2 linked regions of the Nothobranchius furzeri genome follow. The protein of the gene in region 1 binds, or shares a complex with, the protein of each later gene. Links are inferred from orthologs where the notes say so. Each region holds a gene or a part of one and is shown in the gene's direction. Other genes may lie near its edges.

What was found. Proteins that work in one complex are often made in the same cells at the same time.
Region 2: the proteins of keap1b (region 1) and nfe2l2a are in contact, whole or in part, in a crystal structure (PDB 3WN7), measured with the Mus musculus proteins. The link is inferred for Nothobranchius furzeri from reciprocal best matches to the Homo sapiens genes KEAP1 and NFE2L2. Residues at the interface, in NP_001103775.1 of Mus musculus: Tyr334, Ser363, Gly364, Arg380, Asn382, Pro384, Asp385, Gly386, Asn387, Asn414, Arg415, Ser431, Gly433, Cys434, His436, Ile461, Phe478, Gly480, Arg483, Ser508, Gly509, Tyr525, Gln530, Ser555, Ala556, Tyr572, Phe577, Ser602, Gly603; in NP_035032.1 of Mus musculus: Leu19, Ile22, Leu23, Arg25, Gln26, Asp27, Ile28, Asp29, Leu30, Gly31, Val32, Val36, Phe37, Phe39.

What each region holds. Positions count from the first base shown.
Region 1 is NC_091747.1:74,209,476-74,213,129, forward strand, and holds part of keap1b (kelch-like ECH-associated protein 1B), read left to right. Parts: intron 1-2,566; coding exon 2,567-3,243; intron 3,244-3,654. UniProt on the Homo sapiens protein: Substrate-specific adapter of a BCR (BTB-CUL3-RBX1) E3 ubiquitin ligase complex that regulates the response to oxidative stress by targeting NFE2L2/NRF2 for ubiquitination.
Region 2 is NC_091754.1:21,645,383-21,649,136, reverse strand, and holds the start of nfe2l2a (nuclear factor erythroid 2-related factor 2a), read left to right. Parts: upstream 1-1,149; 5' UTR 1,150-1,292; coding exon 1,293-1,331; intron 1,332-3,365; exon of another isoform or gene 3,366-3,393; intron 3,394-3,494; coding exon 3,495-3,754.

The sequences.
Region 1 (3,654 bases):
AAATTTGCCGCCAGTGTGTGGCAGTAATGAGCCACTGATCTACCAGTGGAGCCGTAGAAGAAGAAATGAGCCAATAAGTGCCCCCAGTTTTCATGACGTATCACGTTACTGACGCTCATCTTGCTGTGAGAGATGGCGGATCAACAAGAAATACGGAAGAAAAATAGAAGCGACAAAACAAGAGAAACCCCGGACAAAAACCTCACGAGAATGGGAGCACTTCACTAGATGCCTTGAAAAGACCGGTGACCTGCAAAATATGCAAAAACCATGGCACGACGGAAGCACGACGTCCCTAAGTGAACATTTGAGACGAAAACGTGGGGGCTGATGCAGCAGAGGAATGTCCGGTAAGTCACAGAAAATAAACAAGCTAACGCAGATCAAATTTGAGACTTAGTGATTTAGCTGAGTTCGTTATAGTGGATGTTAAACATGTTTTTTTTTTTTTTTTGCCGCGTCAGTTTACGGTGTTCTACTTCTGATTGACTAGATTCAATCGTGAATCTCCTCTGTGTTGTGAATCATGCGCTTGCCAAATTTAGCACGTCTGTTTATAAGACTGTTCTCGTTAAGAGAAAAACGGCACAAACCCATAACTGTGTTCCTCATTCAAAAAAGGACAACTCCGCGGAGAAAAATATACAGACGAGCTGTGTCCAGGTGAATATAACGCGGCATAGTTGTACGCTTTCAATTTTTAAATACAGGAGAAATTCAGAAAGTCCTTTTTTTAACTATTAAAAGGCTGTTTTACCGTCTAACACTGTAAAACGCCTCACAACACATTTTTGTCAAAATAAATTATCACTGTATATTGTTAATTAATTCAAATAATGTAATATTGATTTAGTGTTGTAGTGTGTGTGCTGTTTTATTTTATATGTGTACTTAATTCAGTTTATTTGTGTTTCTTATGCAGAAAAAAACAAGCAACGATGGACAACTACATGGGGAACAAGACACTCACCCCAGCAATGCATACCACTTACAAACTCTATTCTAGATTCTACATTATTTTTTTATGGAATTTACCTCTTATATTTTGATACCAAAAAATTATTCTGGACTGATATTTTGCACTGTTTAGCTCATTTTACACCACTGACTGTGTTCATGTGCAATAAAATAGATTGCAGTCAACTGCACAATTCTCTTATGTTTTTCTTTTTCTTAACTGAAATGTATTCATCACTTGTATAGGTTAAATAGCTAAACAATAACAAACTGATTAATCGATTAATCGAAAAAATAATCGACAGATTAATCGATTATGAAAATAATCGTTAGTTGCAGCCCTAGCTGCAGGACCACCTGAGGCAGAGCCACAGCTGTATTGTAGGTGGCTCAGTGACCATTCGTCACCTCAGAAGTACAGGTGATACCTCGTTTATCGTGGTAGATGCGTTCCAGACCTGAAAATCCGCGAAGTAGGGACACCATATTTACAGTACAGTACTATATTGAATGATCTATCGTATGATCACATTCTCTTTTTGTGGGTAAAACTCAAGAAAAATTTTTTTTACTTGGTTTTTTATAGTTTTATTACAAAAAGTGCATTTTATGATGAAATTGATGAAAAAAAAAACCAGGAATTTCTTGATATTTCGCATAGAAAAATACCGCAAATCGGTGAAAAATACAGCGAATTGGCGAATTTCCCTTGAATAAGGCTCCAAAGAAAAAATCCGCGAAGTCGTGAATCCGCGATAAACGAACCGCGAAGTAGCGAGGGATCACTGTATTTTTCATTGAAACAGCTTTTTTGTTAATGTTCTAAATAACCACTACTGGAACACTGGGATGACCCAACTCCTCAGCAGATTTAAGTCTTCTAGCTTTAAGGTGACTTAAGTGAAAATTGTACCTAATTTTTTAAATCACGTTCAAAACTCACGATTATTTATTCTGAAATAGGACGTTTCTGCCAGGCTTGACCCCTGGTGACACCAGAAGTTCCTGTTGCTGACACTCGTGCTCGTCAATAACCACAGAATCACATATGAGTACATGATGTAAACGTTAACTCATTCACTGCCAGCCGTTTCCTGATCAGAAAGCCCCGGACTGCCAGTGTTTTTGAGCGTTTTTACTGTTTTTTTTGAAGAGTCACAGACCATTGTGCTCTATGCTCATGTAAATACCAAAACTTCCTAAAGAAAGAGTGCTTACATCAGGAAGAATCCGTGTGTTTGTAGCGTTATCCGTTCATTCATAATCTGTTGTTGAATTGTGAGCAGCAGAAGCTTTTCCAGTTGGCGCCTCGCTTTTTTCACACCAGCGGCCCAAAACGATCTCCTGATTAACGGATTTTCTGTTTCCTGATCATGTGACATGTGATATAGACGGATGAAGATCAGCTTTAGAAACGGGATGTGTATTCTCACGTTGCAGAGGCTCATTCCCACGCTCGCCCAATAAAAAAATGCAATTGGCGACTTTAGTCGACTTCAGGTTGAGACCTCTCAGCTCCGTTTACAGCAGCTCAGGTGAAACGGTTAGAGGAAATCCACAGACAGTCATTATAGTTGTGGGACAAATGTCTCCATGTCTCTCCTTCCAGGTAGCAACCCAGGAGGAGTTCTTCAACCTGTCCCACTGCCAGTTGGTCAACCTCATCAGCCGCGATGAGCTCAATGTGCGGTGTGAGTCCGAAGTCTTCCAGGCATGTGTGGCCTGGGTGCGCTATGACCGGGAGAACCGGAGACCGTATGTCCAAGCCTTACTCCAGGCTGTCCGCTGCCACTCCCTCACCCCTAACTTCCTGCAGACCCAGCTCCAGTCCTTGGACTGGGACCCTCAGTGTAAAGACTACCTATCCCAAATCTTCCAGGACCTCACGCTCCACAAACCCACCAAAGCAATTCCTTGCAGGACGCCCATGGTGCCGCAGCTGATCTACACAGCGGGGGGTTACTTTCGTCAGTCTCTCAGCTACCTGGAGGCCTACAACCCCTGTACTGGAGCCTGGCTGAGGCTGGCAGACCTGCAGGTACCTCGCAGCGGCCTGGCAGCTTGTGTGATCAGTGGGCTTTTCTATGCTGTCGGGGGCAGGAACAACGCGCCAGACGGGAACATGGACTCCAGTGCTTTGGACTGCTACAATCCTATGAACAACTGCTGGCGTCCGTGTGCACCGATGAGCGTTCCCAGGAACCGGATCGGAGTCGGCGTTATCGACGGCATGGTTTACGCTGTTGGTGGTTCTCATGGGTGCATTCATCACAACAGTGTGGAAAGGTGAGCGATACGGCTACACCTCACAAACCACAGCTTACCTGGTTGTAGTTCCCAACAGCAGGCACACCTGAGCCACAGGTAGGATGTGATGTTAGGATTTAGTTGTCATTAGGCTCTGTGGTTTGCCTCGGTACAGACTTAGTTCTGGTCTGTTTCCTGGGTTAGGTCACCGTGTAATGGTAAGGTAAGGGATCAGATCATGATCTCATCTTCTTCAGGTTTGTTTTTCACAAGCTGCTACAAAAAATAATGAACAAAAGCTCAGGAACGTACAATAGTTACAGAATTTAATCAACTTTTTTTATTTACTCTAAAAGATTTGCTCTGGGCTAAACACCTGGTGTGTGTGTGTGTGCGCGTGTGTGTTATGTGATTCCTTTTTACTAAGAAATCTTGGCTGAAGGTAGTAAC
Region 2 (3,754 bases), on another chromosome or scaffold:
CTGTCAAGTGCAAACTTATGAAATATTTAGACATGAAAGTCTCAAGCTCAATAGAAAAACAACACTATTTTGTCTTTGACAAATTTGAAAGAAACTATTTTTTAGATTACCAAGTTAATTGCTATTAATAGGCATAAAAGCAACTTTCCCCACTTATTTAGATGAATAAAAACTAACCCAACAGTTTGACACGTAAAGTAGTAGCCTATTTAGCGACAAAACACACACATGGTTGAACTATGAAGTATCTCTCAGGTCTTGAGTTATTGTTTGAAGGCATCTCTTTGAGATTATTTTACGACACTTGAGTTTTCATATTTTGCAATTAAACAATAAAGGAAAGGAACAAAAAGCTGAAGGAGATCAGAAACACTACGTGATGATGTAACAGCACAATGACCAAAACTTGAAAACAAATAATCAAAATTCACCTTTTAATTATTTTGACCACTATATGTGACATAATTGTAAAAAGAACCTGTTGTTATGCAGTGAATCAGTTGCATACTTTTTACTGAAGACATGCAAATGTATGATGCAATGTGACATCTAGGAATTGTTAGAAAGTAGCCAAAATACCATACAAATACCTTTAAATGTGCTAGTACTATTCAAAAATAGTAAGTTACCACATATAAATAAGTGCTTTTTAAAACAGCCTTTATGTCTCCAAGAGGCATTTTCAATAAATGTACAATTTTTTTTAATAGAAATTTTCCTGTTGTCAGTAAATAACCTCAAGGAGACAGGAGAAGCCATGGCGTCCAGTCCCACACCCAAACCACCAGCAGGGCTCGCTGTTTACCAAACGAAACAAAAACATTGATAGGTAACAGCTGCAATGTTTGGAGAGGCCAATTTAAGCACAAAATATCTTTTTTAGATATAAAATTAAGCTCACGTGGATATTTGAGGATAATTTAAACACGTGTAAGTAAGTTGTGTAATAACTACTTGGGTACCAGTATGTTAAACAGTTATGAGTTTAGGCCATAGACTGGTTTAGGCAGGCTGGCATAGCGCGCATGCGCACAGCGGGTCTTATGCTCCTGTCTCATAGGCCGCCGTGAGTGGGACGATCCCGGAGCCGCAGCTTGGTGGGCGGGGCCATCGGTTCCGTGACGCTCTCGAGCTCCGGAGGAGGCAAATATTTCCCGAAAGTCAGCTGCGGCCGCCCTCACGGACAGTATTGGCCTTACGGACCGCTCGCCATTTTAACCTGCCATTTGTGGATTAATAATACATCCAGTTTTCACCTATAAGGCGTTTTATTTACGTCAGCACAGATCTCCATGATGATGGAAATGGAGGTGATGCATTCCAGTCAACAGGTAAACAATATTTGATTAATTAGCTTTCTTTGAACAAACCTTGTCAACGTCCTCTGTTATAACACTTTAGGTGGCCTTCTTATGTATTTTTAATTAAAATCAAATATCTAAGTTGGGGCAGATTGTACTATTTAATTTGGAATTATTGTGATAAAACATTTAAATAAAACCGGTAACTCATGTAAAACTTTCAGTTCTGCAAGTCATGTAACGTTTTTCTTCGCAGGGAAATCAAAATAGGAATAACATAAAATATCAGTGGCACGATTTAACCGGCGTTGGCTCTTTCCCCCTTGGCCATACAAAGTGTCATGCCTTTAAAAGTGGGTAAACCTGGAGAAAATTGTTTTCTCACAAGAATGCGCGTCCTTTCCCTCTTCCTCCTCACCCCCTTCCTCTCCCAGGCATGTGATCCCTTATCTGATACTGGCCATCTTCTAACCACCATTTTATTATATATTTAAAAAAAACATATAGTAGCTTCTATTTTTGTTGTTTTAAATCTGATTTTGTTACATAAAACACAAAAACTCTTTTCTCAATTGACTAGTTAATTATTTTACTGTGTTTAGGCAAGAATGTTGTCAAAGGGAGCTTGGGTGTTTAAAAATGACAGATCAGAGCCTAAAGCGGCTGTTTTGGAACATGTGTTGCTGTGTTTCACCACTCTCGGTCAAGGGTGAATGTCCAAAGAATAATGATCAAAGGAAAGATCGGCCCCTTTCACTTCCTTTAAATAAAGAACCATCTTAAATGATACACGTGTTCAGATCAGCCTTTAATGTTGTGAAATACTCATTATGGTGACCCGTTTCATTAGTCTTAACTTTACCTGAAAGGATGGTGGTCTGACTGGTGTGGCTGCATGTTGTCGAGGGGAAATCCAAGCTTCCTCGTTCACGTGACCACCTGAGTCTTGTGAAATCCTCATTGACCTTACAAAAGAAAAGCCACCACACTTTAGCATTTTCTGGTTACTCTAAAAGAGAATCTAACTAAAATAAAACTTCTGTGGTGCACAAAAGGAGAATTTTAAGTGCTGAACTTGAAGTTTCTATTTAAGGCCTGACTAACGCAGTTTCTTTTTTTAAGCTTTGAAAAACATCGACCACAGGTGTGTTTTCAGATGCCACCTACACTTTTTTTGAGGACTTCCTCATTCTGCCAAATGCTATAATTTCTGGTTGCATGTTCACCTTTCTGCCGGGGAGCGTGATTTATCGTAGGCAGGCTCAGTAACGTGTAATCCTTTGGCGGTCATGACTCTGATGCAACACTGAGGCAAGGGGTGTTAGTGGCTTTTTATTTTGAAAAGACAAATTCAGGAAAGATTGTGTCAACAGTGTCCAAAAATACATAGGAGCTCATCTGTTTGCTATGGTGGTTTGTCGCTATACGTTTTAATCAGATAGTTACACCCCGTTCGTTTTTGCATTGTTCTGCTTTTTGTGGGTTTTTTTGCCCAGAGTTCAGGATAAAGCCACCAATCAGAAGTAGTTTTTATTCACCGATCTGAGGAACAAACATGTCACGTGCTTCTAAGGTTTTTCTCAGACCGGTGTCTGGTTTCATGCAACATCCTGAGGTCTTGTGAAACAGATTTCTTCTGTAAATAAACTACAGAGAAAAACCCAAGAAGAATGTAAAACAACAACCAACTTTGGGGTTTTTTCATTTAAAGAGCACAAAGCATGATGGTGGTGAGTGGAAACTCAGAAGATTCTTATAGTTGTTTGGTTTCTGATCTGAATTTATGGTGTAAAATTATTTCTGTCTTCATAGTGTACAAGTTGCAAACGAACGTTTGGCTTTAAACTGGTTTAGAAAACTCAAAGGGTCGCATAAAATGATAGGGTCACTTGATTATTGAAGAGTTGGAGCGGGACAAAAGAACTCACACCTCAGTGTAATGAGATGGGTAAGGCTATCAGATCAAGACGCTGTCGGGTGTTTGGTGGCGACAATGAAAACAGAGAACAACATTTATAATTCATTCTCTTCTTCCACTTGGGCTTTGTACCACGTTGCTGACAGCGAGCAGAAACAGGACAGGGTGTGGCAGGTACGACGGCCTGATTTCACAGTTGTTGTTCCGGCACTCATCGCTGCAGGATGGCACGGCAGCTCGCAACTCTCTAAGGTGATCTGTGGCCGTCTTTCCAGGACATGGACCTGATTGACATCCTGTGGAAGCAGGACATCGATCTCGGAGCCAGGCGCGAGGTGTTCGACTACAACCACCGTCAGAAAGAGCACGAGCTGCAGAGGCAGCGCGAGCTGGAGGAGGAGAAGAAGCTGCACCTGCTGCGGGAGCAAGAGAAGGCCCTTCTGGCACAGCTACAGCTAGATGAGGAGACTGGGGAGTACATCCCTCGCCCACCACCGCCCAGCGCCCCTCTGCAGTCAGCTGGCACACCCTTGGA